Linked DNA regions of Drosophila melanogaster. The protein of the gene in region 2 interacts with the protein of the main gene of each other region in a pairwise test. Each region holds a gene or a part of one and is shown on either strand. Other genes may lie near its edges.

The links. The genes of interacting proteins can lie anywhere in the genome.
Region 1: the proteins of ACOX1 (region 2) and Svil interact in a two-hybrid assay, tested with the Drosophila melanogaster proteins (one large-scale study listed by BioGRID).

The regions. Positions count from the first base shown.
Region 1 is NT_037436.4:2,384,735-2,392,610, forward strand, and holds the start of Svil (supervillin), read left to right. Parts: upstream 1-3,257; 5' UTR 3,258-4,032; coding exon 4,033-4,047; intron 4,048-4,530; exon of another isoform or gene 4,531-4,601; coding exon of another isoform or gene 4,602-4,850; exon of another isoform or gene 4,851-4,986; coding exon of another isoform or gene 4,987-5,106; intron 5,107-5,166; coding exon of another isoform or gene 5,167-5,451; exon of another isoform or gene 5,452-5,500; intron 5,501-5,534; exon of another isoform or gene 5,535-5,539; coding exon of another isoform or gene 5,540-5,689; intron 5,690-5,748; coding exon of another isoform or gene 5,749-6,201; exon of another isoform or gene 6,202-6,255; intron 6,256-7,876. Other genes in the region: Mzt1 (mitotic spindle organizing protein 1), read left to right, coding at 4,602-4,850; CG32299 (uncharacterized protein), read right to left, coding at 4,987-5,106, 5,167-5,451; CG32298 (uncharacterized protein), read right to left, coding at 5,540-5,689, 5,749-6,201.
Region 2 is NT_033778.4:17,756,385-17,765,041, reverse strand, and holds ACOX1 (acyl-CoA oxidase 1), read right to left. Parts: upstream 4,103-8,657; 5' UTR 3,777-4,102; coding exon 3,653-3,776; intron 2,914-3,652; coding exon 2,754-2,913; intron 2,700-2,753; coding exon 2,407-2,699; intron 2,350-2,406; coding exon 2,054-2,349; intron 1,995-2,053; coding exon 1,378-1,994; intron 1,313-1,377; coding exon 1,207-1,312; intron 1,144-1,206; coding exon 991-1,143; intron 932-990; coding exon 671-931; 3' UTR 501-670; downstream 1-500. Other genes in the region: OstDelta (oligosaccharide transferase delta subunit), read left to right, coding at 1-361; HLH54F, read right to left, coding at 4,704-5,006, 6,606-6,955, 7,392-7,467. UniProt on the Drosophila melanogaster protein: Catalyzes the desaturation of acyl-CoAs to 2-trans-enoyl-CoAs. First enzyme of the fatty acid beta-oxidation pathway.

The DNA of each region.
Region 1 (7,876 bases), on a different chromosome or scaffold from region 2:
CATAGGCGTAGAGCCAGATGATCTGCGGTTTGTTTTCCTCGAGAACTACCAGTTGAGACATCAGAAAGGTGTGGGAAAATGAAGGCGAATTGCATCAAGGAAGCTGCATGGTTAGATCAGGGATAATTGGCGTGGGAAATTAAGGTATTACTATTATAACATATATATTGAATGGGCATATAGGAAACGATCCTTACACTACTTATATTCGAGTATATTATCTTAAGGGTATTACCATCCAATTTATGTATACTACTGATTACTATTGTATAATTACCCAAGTATCTAGAGCAAAATTGTTAGTGAGCGGGTTTCCTAATCATTTCGCTTAAACACCAGTCAAATACGGCACGAAACCGAAACTCTCTATTATATCGGCAGTTCCCTTTCGCCACATTTCGCCACATTCCTGACCATTAACTGCATTTGGTTGGCCACAAAATCTGTCGCCATAAACCGAATGAACGTAAGTCTCGATGGAGCAAACTTGATTTATGAGCGATTGCAGTTGCAGATACGTATATATTTCGCTATCGCCGCACTCTCACTCTCGGCTGGTCCATTTGGAAAATGGCATGTCAACGGAAATTGCTTAATCATTTCCACGCATATCATGTACACCTCGTATACATATGACTAATGCCATCTGTCTGTGCTCTTCCTTTCCGCGCAGGTAAGTTTTACTGCTATCGTTTTTGGGCCATAGGCAGTTAAAGGAAATCATTGCGTAAGTCAATAAAAAACGGAGTTGATTTGTTTACTTAGGACTTCCCCCCCGGGGGAGGAGTTGCGTAATCCCCGGTTCCTGCGAGGAAGTGGCTCGTAAAAAGGGAGCCATTAGCATGTGCAGTCTGAAAAGCGAGGCGCATAATGGATTTTCCAATCAATGCAGCCCATAATTATGCTCACCAATGAAGTTATTGGCTCATTTGGTCAGGCGGCTAGCGAAATAAGTGGAAAATGAACTGAACGGAGATACACTCCACTCCTTGATTATCGTGGCCATCATACGAACATATCTCCTTCACCACCACTGCTACCTGACCCCTTGTCGCGCCTAACGATCTTTAACCTGACCAACAACGATCCCATCCCGGCCATCTCGGCCCAGACAGTCTGCCAGTCTTTTGTTGTTTATTGATCGTCGTGTTGCACAGCATTCAAACGTGCGTCGAGTGAATTTGTGTCTTTGTATCTTTGCATCGCAGTACCTTTGTATCTGGCGAATGCATTTCGTTGTATCTCAAGTGTATGGGATTGTTTGTACCAATGTTTGTCCGGCTCATTTGCAAAATCTGCTGGGTAATCAGACACCGGCTAGGGATGTCAATTAGCTTATGTTGCTGCTGCTGCGGCTGCTGTTTTGCCAAGTGCGTGACCATTGAACCTGCATTTCCCATTTCCCATTTCCCTGCTGCTTTAAGTGAAAGTGAAAATGCCAGTCGTTCGTTGAACTTGCTGGGAACTTGGCATAAGCAAAGCTCTGCCGACCCTCAGAACTAATTGAAGATTTCATAACTCAGCATTTATGGCCCTTTGCAATCTCAGTGTCAGACTCTAGGAGTCTAAAGCAGACAATTTATGATACAAATTAAATGCATGAAAATTATGATGAATGCGAGGCGAAATTTATGCTGATGACATACCCAACAAAAGAGCGCCAATCCGCCCAGACTCCTACGGCTTCACAAGCTCCTTCTACCTCGCCTGCTCCTGCTCCTGCTCCTCCTCGTCCGCTTCCTGGAGGGCAGCTCCAATCAAGAGCCAGACGATCCACAGACAACAAATCGCCGAGTCAAGGAGTTTGCGGCCCAAGTCGTTTCTGTGTTCATGGATACACGCAAAAAACGATGTGTTACATAGTAAAATCTTTGGAAATATGTATATTATTATGTAGCTCGTTCTTAATAACTAAGATATTTGAATTTACTACACTTATTCGTGCCACTTTCTCTAAGTGTAAGTCTGGATCTGGTCCTAAGTTCCATTGCCTCCCGCCCCTTCCTTTATGGTTTTTTGAGCAGCTGCATGAGGGGCGGGGAGTACAACGAGGTGGACTCCTTGTGGCTGTGGCTGCCTGCCTCTAGCCGAAAGTTGTTGCGTATTTAAAATGGAAATTGCAAGTTTTTCGCTGAGCGTTCCCAATGTCTTTTCCCTGTCTCTCTTGCTCGCTCGTCGACGCTTTTGTTTCACTTTCGTTTGCTGATTGCAGGTTTTTTGTCTTAGCTCATTTTGATTTTATTTCTCCCGTCTTATTCGGTGCATTTATCACGGTGCCACACATTTGTGCCACAAGATGCCAGAGAATCGGGCGGGCATGGCCAATGAAATTGGCCGCAAGTTTCCTTTTCATTTTCATTTTTTTTGCAAATTGAATGCTGCTTTTCAAGCCGATTTCAAGGGTGAACGATTATTGGCCAAGACACCACACTCCTTTCGCCATGATATTTGAGTGAAATTTCTTCATGCAGATCCATCTGCAGTTTTGTCATCTCTCGCTGGCAGGTTATGAAATATTTCGCAACTTTTGCTGCGAAAAATTTCCTGTTTTTCTTCATTTCACTTACGCACTTCTCTCCTTTGGCGGAGTTCGGTGGGTTTCTCGGCCGATTGGTATTAATTATTATTATGGTCTCGTTTTTGTTTCGCCTTACGGATTTCTGCAGCTTTTATTTTTAATGCCCAGCGAACCTGTTGCAATGCGTTCCACAAGCTGAGATATGCGCCTGGGTGTGGAGAGATGAATAGTTATGAGGTTTTAGGTTTGGCTAGCCAATCTTGGTTTTCCAAAGGGTGCCTGACACTATATATTTAGTTTTATTTACTATCATAAAAGTACGAATGATCCACTTCTATCCCATGACCAACTCACGTATGTTCGCCCCATGCTATTCATCCCTTAGTCTTTTCACCCATTAAAACCATTTAGCATTCATTAAGCCCAATTTCTGCCCCATCCATGGTGCTCGGAATAATCAACAAATTAACTAAATTCCTAGTGGGCGCCTCCATCCCCAGAATAATCCAAATTCCGAAGTTGTGACATCAAGAAATGTCGAAGCGATTTCAAGTGCAGCCCCGGGGAATCTTGGGAACATATTCGAACATTCCCAATCGTCCGCAACCTGTTTGATCCGTTGGTTATCAAAGATATTTCCAAACATGTTCGAAGCGAACCTCATGATGAGGTTGCATGGAATCCATAAGATACAATCCACAAGCTGCTTTGCAGCTACAGCCCAGCGGAATTTCAATTCAGTTCGCGCTCAACTCACAGACACGATGGTCATTCAAACGCGTTAACGAATAATAATTTAAAATAATATTCAAATGATAAATACACTAAAATATGCACTAAACCACGCACTAAACCTAAATCCACGAACTGTACATATTTGTGTAAATAAATAAAGTATAAACAAACAGCGAAGAGAAACCTCGAAATACCAATAGACCGCTCAAGTTCCCATACATTGAGCTGGCCAATCGTGTTTGAAATTATTTGTTTGATCGATTTTGTGCGGTGTGAACACCTTGTAAAGGCATTTGCAAACCTATTGCCATAGCAAGCAAAGTGTGTTAAGCTGGGAAACACCCTCTGAAAAGTTTATGTACTACCCCCTTCGATCGGTCGAATAATAACTACCACAAGACAAGCATTAAGTTTGTGTTTACGTGCTGCTGACTAATTGCGTTTATATAGCCCGACTATATAAAACTGTACAATAAGACACGGCCAACTGTTTTAGTTTGAACGCCTCAGTTAAAGCTGCAAATTGCTTCGCTACCAAGTGAAGTTCTACATTTTCGCAGCGAAAACGTTTTTCAATTGATTTTCATTAAGTGAAAAAATCCCGAGATTGTCTTCTTTTCGGTTTCCAATTGATCGCAATTGCACCAGACCCATAAAACATATATACAAAGTGAGGCTGCATTCCAAGTAGAGCAAGACAGTAACCACTTCATCATCACAACATCAGATGCTGCATAATTAGCATTCGTTGCGTGGAGCGTCGAAAAAAAAAGCGGAAAATGTATCTCATACAGGTGAGGCCAAGCGATACAATGGATCCCCCTCTCACGATTAAGTGTTTGCTCTTACTTATCACATGCTGGCGGCACTGCACTTGCCGACTGAAAAAGATCTTCATTTAAGCGTTTTTTAATTGTCCGCCAGCTGAGATTTTCAGCATTTACAATTCTCCCCTCCGTTTGAAATGACTGTGAGAGGCACGCATCTCTGGCGTATATAATTTGTTTAATTTGTAGCTAATTTATCTTTCCACTTGGCAGCGGGCAGATCGGATGTCGAGCAAATGGGGGGGGGTTCACTGGAGCAGGTGCCTCATTACTGAACTTTGAACTTGAAACGGTGTTACGATTTACAGCTGGTAATGGATTACGGTTAGGCATCGGGGTTCGGGTTAGCAGAACAAATGTGCAGGCCTGAGATTATGAAGGGAACTCAAATATTTTGACATAACCATTAATCATTTGTAAATGATATACATTCAATCGATTGCTTTTGAGTTATCTGTCAGCATTGCCCTAAATTATTTAGAGATTTATTCCGAGTTTATATCAAAATTTGTGGAATAAGTATGTCAGAACAACCGACACAACATAAATCCGACGATCGCTTCACTATCCTGCAAACCTTATCGGATGTAGTGGACTCTGGTCTCAGCAAGGAAGCCCTTAAAATCTGCATCGAACTGGTGGACAATGGTGTCTGTGGTGGAGCACTAGCACATGTAATTCGAACCATTAGAGAGGAGATTCAAGATGATGAAGATAAGGAAAGTGATGATTCCGGAGAATCGGCTGCATCAACAGACTCAACTTTGTAGGAAATGAATATAAAATATATTTTTGTGTTTATATTTTGTGTTTGTTAAATTAAAAGTTCAACTTTCCGATGGTCTGTTTCCGAAATTTGTAAGACGCTGGTTCTTGGACATCCAATTGCATGATTTTTGAAGGCTTTCAAGAAGACTTCGCCACTCTATTTGCATTCATCAAACGCAAGCGACTGGCGTTTCTGAAAACGGTATATGTGCCGGCCATGATAATGAAAAGTTGCACCACTTTGGCTTGATAGTAGGTCTAAGATGATAATGTGTTTAGATAAAAGCTTATAGCAAACCGAAGCAACAAACGACTCACCTGTCTTATATAGATGGGCAATGGAATGTGCGATCGATGAACATGGTAATCCATTCCTCTGAACAGCCAATAGCCCGGCCACGCCCCCAAACTGGCGAAAAGAAATGGTGCTGCAGTACTGTAGGCCTTTTCAAAGGATTGCGAATGCACCAGTAAACGTATCTCCTCGCCAAGATTATGCATCCGAGGTGGGTGGGCTATTGCCTTGGCTGGTTCCTCCTCCTTTCGCTTAAGCCTCGTCGAGAACTTCTCCTTCAGATTGCCGTAATAATTTTGGATGCCCATCTTGGAAAGGTTTAATTTTCGACCGAAAGTTGTGTATTGTGTGTGTGTGTAAAGTTTGGACAGAAACATATATCAAGGCTTACCTGAACTAAGAGGAGTCTCCGATGTCAGCTGTTTCTTCCTGATTATTGTGCACTGTATGCATTTCTATTGGTATGCCGGCAGGTCGACCCATTGATATCGTGAACAGACCAGTGGCTAAGATAGCCAACTGCATTAGCTTGGCCTGTTGATAGGTCTGAAATGAATAGTTTTCAATAGGTTAGACTGCACGGGGTAGACTGCTATATTTCAAACCCTTTGAATGTAAAATGCGATTCTCTCCGTTTTTCGTGCGGACTGCCAGTTGTAGCCGCGCCAAATCCAAAACGCTGGCCAGGACAAAAAGCTGACCTCCAGATAGGGCAATATATCAATTATCTTCTTCGATAGACCCTGAGGTGCGTTGCGATCTACGAAGTCAACAAACTCTAGCTCGTAGTTTAAAGCTGGAGCCGTTTGTTCCCTAAACTTTTGCAACTTGACATCTGGGGTTGGAATATCACCAGAGGTTAGGGGTTCAGTGGTATCAGGTGCAGTTCGATCAGAGTCCGGCTTCCCAGTTTCCTGGCTCGAAGCTTCTGGTATTTGGTTTGCAGTGGTTTGGGTTTCTTGTGCATTCTCTACATTCTTAGGACTGTATACCACCGCTGCAATGGGGGAAGTAAAGTTATGAAACAGCTCTGAGATCTTCTGGAGCAGCGAATCCATGCTGAAAAGCTGAACTTTTTGACTATTAATTTTCAATTTTCCCAAAGGTGCCAAAGCAAACAAGAATAGCTTGCTGGGTTTTTGGTTTCGTTTGAAAAGTTCAAAGACTCGAGGCAATTGCATAAATTATCGCCTTAACTCGTTCGTTCATGCGGGCTTACATTTGTTTTAAACTAATTTACCCTATTCATTTTTCTATTTTCTGTCTTTTTATTTTGGGGGCCCACAGAAGCCGCAGAACAAGCTTCATTATTGCCGGACTGCGGGTGCCCAAGATTGGGGTTCTATAGTACGAGTACGAGTATAGTCTATATGGTGTATGGTGTACAGTGTGGTGCCGAAGTGGGTCAGTTGGTGCAGCGGTTCATGCAATTATAAAGCGCATATCTACAGGTTGCATACCAGATACCTCCACTTCCACTTCCAGCTCGACTTCGACTTGGGTCCATTGTGTGGCAGTGGCCAACTGCTAACGGCTCGGACTACGGCAGGTGTCTCATCAGTTCATTGTGTGTTTTTAGTCTTTCCACTGGGTCTTGTGTTTTTCGGTTGAAAATGTGGCTTACCTTCGGCGACAGCATGGAGTTGTATGGCTTTTGCCGGGACAAAGACGCACCTAATGAAGTGAAAATCTTTGGTTCTATTGTGATAGTTCTTTGATTAGCGGACTTCGTTTGGAATATTCTTAAGCCACTCCTGATGGTTCATCGATCATGTGGAAAGTTGACATCTAACACTCTAACAGTTCTCTGCATCTGCGGATGAATTGAGAAGACTTAGAATTGATCCACTTGCCCACTTATTTACCTGAGAGTATCAGCATTACCATTTTAAAGCCATTATCTCTCCCCGTTTCCAGCATCTTCAGACCAAACTACTCAAGCGTTGAGCCTGAATGGGGCTTTCATTCAAGACGCTTTGAAACCACAAATTGCATTTCTACGACTTCACACAGATCGATTCCGAAACTCTCCGTCTCTCAGTATTCTATCCACATTTCTCTGAAACTGCGGCCTACACACAAAAATGCCTCTACCCTTTTAACTGTTCAAAGTCAAGCTCAATTAACCCAATTTCAATTTGGAAAATGATTTGCAAAAGCCAAATAAATCGTTTTGAAAGTCTTCGGCCTGTTGCCAAAACACTCGAGCATAAATCAGCACCACAACGAAATTTCTTTGGCCAAAACGCCAACTCGCTTTTGGGCCCACCTGCAATTAGTCTGCTCAGGTGGGTGTATACTCTTATACTCTCTTTCACTCCCCGAATCGTGTGAAATTGCAACTTTGACTGCGGTCAATGTTAATAAAATTTTCGATAGAAACCATTAACTGGTAACTTTACTGGTAAATTGTATAATCAATTGACAGCTGTAAATGTCTGGGTTTCCGTGAAAGGTCTGCTCGTGTGACAGGTGACGACACTTCAGGTGTCAAGTGCGCAAAATTCGGTGGAGATCGGTTGCCAAAACAGTTTTGATTACATTAACGGACGTTGCTTAATTTATGAGTTTGAAATGGTTATGTACAGTGATTTTTTCGAGTGAAAACTTTTTCTGATGCTGTAGAAATGGCTGAAAGATCAATTAAAGCAACCATATTCATTTATAAAGATTTACCGCGCTGTTTGCTTGGCTAAAGATACATTTGAACTCTGAATACACCACTTTACATCT
Region 2 (8,657 bases):
TAAGAACACTTCTGGTCCCCTGCCCGAAATCATCCATCAGTTCCGAGTGCCCGATAAGCGCCCGCCCCGCATTGTTTCTGATATCTTCACCGGACTGTGCATAACCCCGCTTGTGCTGCTTTTCGTTTTTTGGGGAAAACTGGGCATCAATGTATCTAACCTGACGCTGGCACCGAGTACGATCGGGTTTCATCTGGGTTTCGGTGGCATTCTGGTGCTGTTCTTCGTGTTCTGGCTGCAGCTTAACATGTTCCAGACACTGCGCCTGCTGATTCCCATCGCAGTATTCACATTCCTGGCTGGCAACCGATTACTGAGACGTCTTTACGCACAACGTAACTCGAAGGCAAGTGCGTCGTAAGTGCGTTCATCATTGTACGAAGTCAATAAGTGAGCTACTCTCTATCTTGCAACACCATCAGAAAACAAACTTTAATAAAGCGATTTAGTTAAGCCCAAACACACACTAAATACTGCCTTTAAATATAGTTGAATATTTTATTTGTGTATAATTTTACAGCCTAGTTTCAACTGCACAAGCCCTGACATCATAATTGTCTTAAAGACCATTTGCTAAGCAGACAGTTGTATAATACAAAAACAATGGAAACAAATGTATATTTACAATAATAACACTTGTGAAAATCTTCCAGAGCAATAGGATATGAATCTAGAGGTGAGCCTTCATGAATGGCTTCAAGTACTTGTGGAATGCTCCGTTGACTGGCTCCTTGTTCAACGGGTTCTTCTTCGTAGACTCGAAGATGTGTTCGTAAACATTTCCATCATAGGCACCCAATGCGGAATCTAGCACGCGATCGTGAAGATCAAAGCTGTCCACCAAGCTGACGGCATTCGGCCGGAATCGTTTTAAGCAGTTCTCCAGGCGAACCTCCAGTTTCGTGACATCTTGATCAGTGAGATCAATGAACTGTTGAAAGTTACATATAACATTAAATATTCTTAACTAATATCAATTTAAAATCGTACCCGCAAGAAGTCGCCAATGCGGTTGAGGCAGGCGTCTACCAGATACAGCTCCAGCACCACCTTTAGGACTTCAGCTAGTTCTGGGGACACCTCGCGCGACAAGGCCAAAAGCTCCGTATAGGCAGTCTGCGCTAGGAAGGCGCGTCCATGAAGCTACAAGTGGTACAAAATTATATAGGATACTGAGTGAATAACAGATATTTCATTACGACTTACATCTGCAGCTGCTGTTAGGAAGGTGCCACATAGATTAGCTGCCACCTCGGTACCATAACCTTGCTTGCGGCGCAGTTCAATCTGCTCATAGGCAATTCGGGTTTTGCTGATATAAAAATATGAATTTAAATACTTGGTACTTCTACCTTTTTTTCTTTAGTAAATACTTACTTGGCGGCAACGAATTGGAAAGCCTTGACAATAGACCTCAATGATCCGTCAAAGTTAACAAACTTGGTTTGGTTTATTGCATCACTGATGTACGAAACCGTTGGCACCAGCTTCTCTCCATTCAAGGCCTGCCCATAAACCTTCACCAAATAGCGAGCAGTCTGCAGCAGCATCACTGTGTTCTCGCCCTCATAGGTGCAAACGGCCGTGGTCATGCCGTATATCGTGGGGAAGTTGGAGCAGTCCATGTAGCCATGTCCGCCACATGACAGACGACACGTTTCCACGCCGGCGGCGGCATCGGCACTACAGATGGCCTTAAGGCAGCAGGACAATGCATGCATTTCGGGCAGGCGATCCAAGTTACCCTGCTCAATCTCGCCAGATATCACGTTGTACATATTCCAGATGCCATCACCCGTCGTTTTGAAAACGATGGCTTTAGCTATCTGGGGGAACAACTTCAACTGCTGCGTGGTATGGTCCATGATTTGGGGCTCCGGTTGATTGGGATCAATGGGACTCTGTCGGCGAACAGCTGAATACCTAGTGGCAATAGTGGATGCCTTTGCCAGGCTCTGAGCGGTATCACGGATAAGAGCACAACGCACAAACATCTTGAATGAAAAAATGGTTAAAATCTCTGTGAAGATATAGTGAATATGTGTAATAGTACCATAGTTCCGTAGGTAAGCACGCTATTCTTCGGCGCCACATATGTGCCATCGGGCAGCACTTGCTGGTTCTTCATCAGCATGTTGTTTAAAGGCACCCGTACGTTCTTCAGTCCCAAATAGCCATTGTTGACACCCTTCATGCCCAGCTTGGTACCAATATCTCCAATGTCGATGCCGGGCATGGGACGGTGAGTATCGGAATCCCTCAATTGGACAATAAAAGGAGCCAGACCACGGAACTCGCCCTTGGTGTAGAGTTGTGCCACCACAACCGCATGGTTAGCAGTGTGTCCCACTGCAAGTCCCAGATTTTATAACAATTTCAAAATATTAAGTGTTCAAGAAAACTCACATCCACCGGGCCACCACTTGTATGCACTGAGTGATGGAGTGTTTATAACAAACTCCTGGGTGCTGGCATCGTAGTCAGCCCTGGTCTCCAGACCGCGCAGGAAGGTTCCGTGTCCCAGTTCCGTTTGGGCATAGGTGCCAATGATTTCACAGTCCCAGGCCTTGCTCAGCCATTCCACCTGCTGATCCATCGTTCCCTGGCCCATGATGGTGGGCACGAACATCACGTAGTGCAGCGCAAGCGGATTGCCCTCCTTTAGAATAGCCGATCCCAAGGATCCACCAAGCAGAGCACTATAAGCACACAAATTACAACCTGAAGTACATTAAATATAAGGATTTCTTTACTTGTAAGTATCCACTCCATCCTCGCCATCAGCACGTAGCTTGCGGATCTTCTCTCCTATGATGCAGGCTTTGCGCAAGCTGTGCTCATAGAGCTCCTTGTGTGACAAATAGGAAATGGGCAAGTCGTCCTGAAGGGCTGGATCCTCCAAAAACAATTTCTCTGGAAAAATCATAAACGAAATTTAATGTAAATGAAGCCATAAGGAAAGGGATTTAATATTTTAGGAGGTGTCATTTAGATAAGCATTGTTGAATTTTGCAGCGTAATCATGAGTGGAAAGTATTCTTCGTTAATTCGCGGGAGTTACTGGGCATTGTCCATTTATGATGCCCTGAGCGACCGTGCAAATCTGTCAGATAAACCTATCAGCTAAACTAATTTCAAGTGGACCTGGAAATAGATGGTGGGTAGCTGCAAACATTCAAAGTACACAAGTAGTCGGATTGATCGCGATTCGCGCGAAGTTCAAAGATTAATAACTTATGAGCTGGCTAATAGGTGCTGATTAACTAGTAGCGGCTTGTTTATGCGGAATACATAATTAATGAACTTTGGGCCACGGCGTGCAGCAAAATCAACAAATCGCATGAATGAATGGACGGAGAAGAAGCGTATCAAAACAAAGAAGTTGACAGGATGTTTTGGATAATTTATCAGTGGCTGACATGGCTAGCATCAGAGTTTGTACCCTACAGATTAGCTATAAATGCGTTAAAGCCTAGCTTAATTGCCAAGTCATGCTTTTGGCACAATTTCTTGCATCCACTGTTGGGAAACGCGATTGCGCCAAGCTCAGATAAAGCTCTGAGCGACCGGTTAATGTGAATGTACATGTAGGTCTGTCGGGGTCACCGGAGAAGCTTGAAATCCGGTGTTTTTCCCTTCTAAGCTAACTCACCCAGGGCCTTCTTCTCCTTGAATCGCTCCTCGCCGCCGGCCCACAGAACGGAGAACTCCCGGGGATTGAAGGTGGCCGTGCTGCGTTCCTTCTGGAGATCGGGATTCACTGGTTTGGCTGGCATTTTGCTATGCGGCACAGTATTCAAGTCACGTAAACAGGTTATGGATTAACGAGCCACCGCAAAGCGTCCGTCTTCGTTGAATATCGCGTACTGACTGATTGTTGCTGGAAAGGCGAATTGCGCTCAGTGGTCAGTCAGTCGGTCACTCAAGTGCTGGTGGAGGAAATCCAGTGGAGGAGATTGAGATTATGGACTGCTGATCTGATCCAGCTATTCCGAATCTAATCATCGATGCCAGCTCTCGAACGACGTGAACTTTAACCGCGAAAATACACATGTAATAAGTTCGCTTTTGTGTTGAAATAGTCTGTAGCACAACCATTATTCTCACGCCATTGTTGTTGGGCTACATTTATGAGTAAATACACAAAATAAATACACTGCATGTAAAAAGTACTTGGGCGTTTTCTTTCAGTTTGTTTCTAATTTAAATAAGATTGCTTTCATAAGCTTCTTTGTTCGTATAATTTGTTTGCAAGTGAATAATGCAAATTCACTACATCTTTCTGCATAAATAACATCTTTAAAATGTCTCAAATTAGCCGTTTTAAAAAAAGTAGGGTATTTGAATTCCGCCTTAATTAATAGATTAATTTTGTTTTTAGCAGCTCTTTGTTTGTATTGTGACGAAATCAGCTGTTGAACAGGGCTGCAAAATACAAACAAGTACGGCAGCACTCGACAACTCCAGGGATACAGTCACCATAATCTTGGCGCCAATTCAAAAAAATTCAAAAATTCCAATTTTATTAAAAACATAGATATATTTGCTAGCTAAATGATCATGAGGTAACACCAATCTTTGGCCTTATAGCATAGGTTCAGGCTTGCACATACGGAAACACGTAAAATTAAATCACGATTTAATACACTTACTAGGTGGTAAATTCATTTGGCTTAGGTCAGAACATTATTTATAATATCCGCTTAAATGCCATGGGCATGGCTAGTGGCTATAGCTATGCCCCGCTGATGCTGCCCCATTCCAGAGTCATAGGAACAGCTGGCCGCTGGCTCCATTTGATGCACTTCCGCCGGATACCAGTGACTGTGAGATTCCGGCAACTGATGGTAACTTAGATCCGCCGAAACATGGGTTTCGCCTCGCGTAGTCTTCGGATAAGATTGCGTATGCAGGGTTTGCCAATCCATACGGGCGGATGAGGTGGTTGATGATGATGGGGCAAATGCCAAACTCCGGCTACTCTGGTGGAACTCAAAGGGCCAGCTCTGCAAGACAGTATAATGTGGAATGTGTGGATAAAACAGGCATAAATCATAGGAGTTGTGGAAACCGCAGGGGCTATATATGGAACAATATGACGACAACCCATCCCGAGACAGCGCCATTGTTTGTTTACGCAACTTTGATTGTTTTTAGTGCCCACCCCCGCCTCCACGTCTAGATCTACAATAACAGCCTCATTAACGGATCTATAAAAACATAAACAGCCAAACACTTGCGGACAAGAGACACTCATTTGTATGCCATACAATGAGGGATTGGAAATGGGATATAGGGATGCTAGGGCTAGCGAGCAAATAGCGAACCAATGGGTTGTTCCCAACAGATCATCTTGGGCGCGTGGATGGTATAAATTCGGATAGGGTCGGGACTCTCCGATCCGATCTGATTTGCCACCATATGGGCACAAGACGGAGCCGTATTTGCTGAATTTTTCACGCATTCGGTGTGTAAACAATTGCATCTATTTAGATAAGTTGTGCACGCCATGAATCTTGAGTGATAGATTGTGTAAACTCCAGCGGGAATGGCTGATGGATAAACACGGTTAGACAAATTTTAATTACAATAATCCGAGTGGGAAAACTACTGAGGATGACACTTTCCCTCGCATGTCATTCACTGTGTCGCTTCAAAGCATCAAGAGCATCTTTAAAAATAAAAAATAAAAGCAAAGACTAACTAGTGCCCCCCATCCAGATCCGCAGGTCTGCGTTACCATCTCCGTTCCCTGCCCGCTCCACCAACAGCCTGTCACTCATATTTAATATTTTCGAAATTCACAAAAGTATCGGATTACAGGAAAGCAAGGCAGTCTGAAATCACAAAATGTGATTTCGGTGTTCTAGTGGGGGGCCCGGCTGAATGGCTGACTCCGGTCATGGGATGTGGATGTGGTTACGTTTGTGGTTCACCTCCACATCTAGAAAAGGTGGAAATACTTGTCGCCGCATCGCGTCCGCATCACCAAGCAGATGTTGCACCACATTCCTTTGGATTTTTGATCTATATTTCGCTAAAATTGCGTTGAATTACCCCTATAAGTTGAGTAGTATTACTAAATACTTAAGTTGCTTGTTAAAAAAAAAATGAGAATAATAGATTGCGTATACGTTTAAATTGTAATAGTATCAATTTTTTAAATTTTAAACACTGAAGCCTGGGTTTCCGTGTAACTTTCCACGATCTCTAAGTTAAAATTCTACGAAAGGCTAATTTCAACTAGCAAAATTTACAAATATCTACCTACTTTATTTCCTTAATGGCTTTTCAAAGAAAACGCATAAAAGAAAAATTTTCATTCCCAATACCAAACTTTCCATAAAAAGACATAAACTTATGGGAATCCCGATCGGCTGAACATTACTTCTCAATTAGACTGAAATCCATGAATAAACATTGATCTTGGGCATATCACTGGGCATCCCCTGCGACACCTGTCATTAACTGACGAGATCCACCTGAAGTGGCCGGCTCATTAATGCGTTCCCGTTCCCCCGAGCCGCGGGTGCAGTGCATCGTTAAGTGGTGGCAGTGACATCACTTATATTCGGGCAGGGGGATCGCAATTGCATGACACTTACCATGCCGTGTCCGTTGTTGTGGAAATTATAATTGCCTCCACCGGACGAATCTGCCATGTGACTTGTGTCCAGGCCTTCGGAACTGGTGGTACTCGAGTGACTGTGGTTGAGGCTGTGGTGCTGGTTGTGGTTGTGCGGGTGGTTCTGCGAGTGGCTGCCTGTCTCCACAGCCGTAATTAGCTGCTTGATGTAGAGCGTGGCCAAACGCAACGTGTCCAACTTGGAGAGCTTCGTGTCCGGCGGAATGTTGGGCAGCTTGGTCTTCAAACGTCCGTAGGCGCTGGATAAAACCCGCATACGCATCCGCTCCCGGGCATTTGCCGCATTTCGCTGCACCGGCGGTTGGGAGCCTGGAAAATCAGAAATGTAGATACATCTTAAGGAGCTCCAATAACAAGAGATTAATTAGAAACAAAAGGTTTTATTGGTATCCACAAAAGTTTTAAGTTACATTATAGATATCTTCGCAAAGTATGAAGTTCAAAAAGCATATGGAGTATGAATTTTAAACTCAATTTATATCTATTGTGCTTTCTGTTATTATAATTTTTATCATTATTATTATATTTTCATTTAGAGCTTAACGCATTTTAAATTAACATTCCTTTTAAGGTAAATTCTAAAGTTCGATTTAAAAAATTCTAAGGAAATTGAATTTTACTTTAAAGTAAATAATAAATTTACAAAACTAGCTAAACATATTTACATTGTCAACGTTTTTAAGCGTTTATAATACATCTTTTTAATATAAGTACAAAATCACCTATAAATTGAAATCGAACTCACTTTGAGAACTGGCATCCTCATCGAAGTCGTCATCAAAGAACTCCGTGGGGCTGGAACTGCGCTTCTTGCGTGGCATTGTTCAAAAACAAGTTGGTGGTATCACAAGAATCACTTCGAATATTTTCAAATTGGATATAAAATTCCAATCACTCAGTTTTCTCACTTAAAATCGAAACGCACCGAACCGAAACCAATCTGTGAGTCGAATACGTCCGATCTGCGTGGCACGTAGAGCACTTCTGTCACGGGTTACGGGGAGATCCTCCTTTTTGAGCATTCTGCTCCGCAGTTTGCAGCTCTCCAGATTCCGTCTATTTCTGGCACCTCTGGTGGGCGTGCCTGCTCCGCAAACAGTCCCAATTGGCGGAGGAATCCGGACACATGGTGCGATCGGCGGTCTCTTTCTCGGTTGTTTGCCTTCTGGCTGCCACCACATTGGCCACACAGTGTTCCTCCGTCGGTCTGCGGGAAAATTCAAAATGAAACGCTCGGTTTATCCGGTTCACTACGGGCGTTGGAGTGGGGATGTTGTGCCGTAAGGATGTGCGACGGGCGAGTGCGAAGCGTGCCAAGACTCCGGCTCCAGATGGCACCACCTGGTATTCGATCTCGCAGTGCATTTGGAGATAGGCATTAATGGCAGATCGGAAGAGATTATAATCCTGGGGTTCAACTGCGTATCCTGTTTGGGGTCGCCGCGATGGTTGGCATTTGAGTATGGGTCCAAAATTTCATTGCTTATGTGGGGAGTTTTAAGTTCCGAGAACGATTTTGACTTTTCAAATTTTCTGCGGGAAATGAAAATACTCGAAAATATATGTACATATATGTAGGCAACACTTTGTTTAATCTATAGAATTTACGTTTTCTTTAAGTGCTTTTAAAAGAAAAGCAAGAGTTTAATAAATCTATTTATATGAATGGATTAATTGAAACCACAACATATTAGCAAGAAGCATCTGTTAAACCGCATCTTTATTGAAACTAAAAATTTGCTCAGATTAAATTGTTTTTTGACCTACGTAGCTGCTAACTAATTTTACTACTTGCCACGCCTCCGAACCCAGATAAGAAACGTGCTGTGACCCTAAAACGTGGCCTTGATTAGGGCCTCCAGTCATGGATGGAACGTCACTGGCACAGCAGGTTTATCAGGATGCTGAACCATGGGTTATCCGATCAATTCAGCGGGAGATTATTATGGCGGTATTGTGTTTTTAACTCGAGAATTCAGTTGAGATTCTAAAGTCGTCGCGCTCGGCCGTT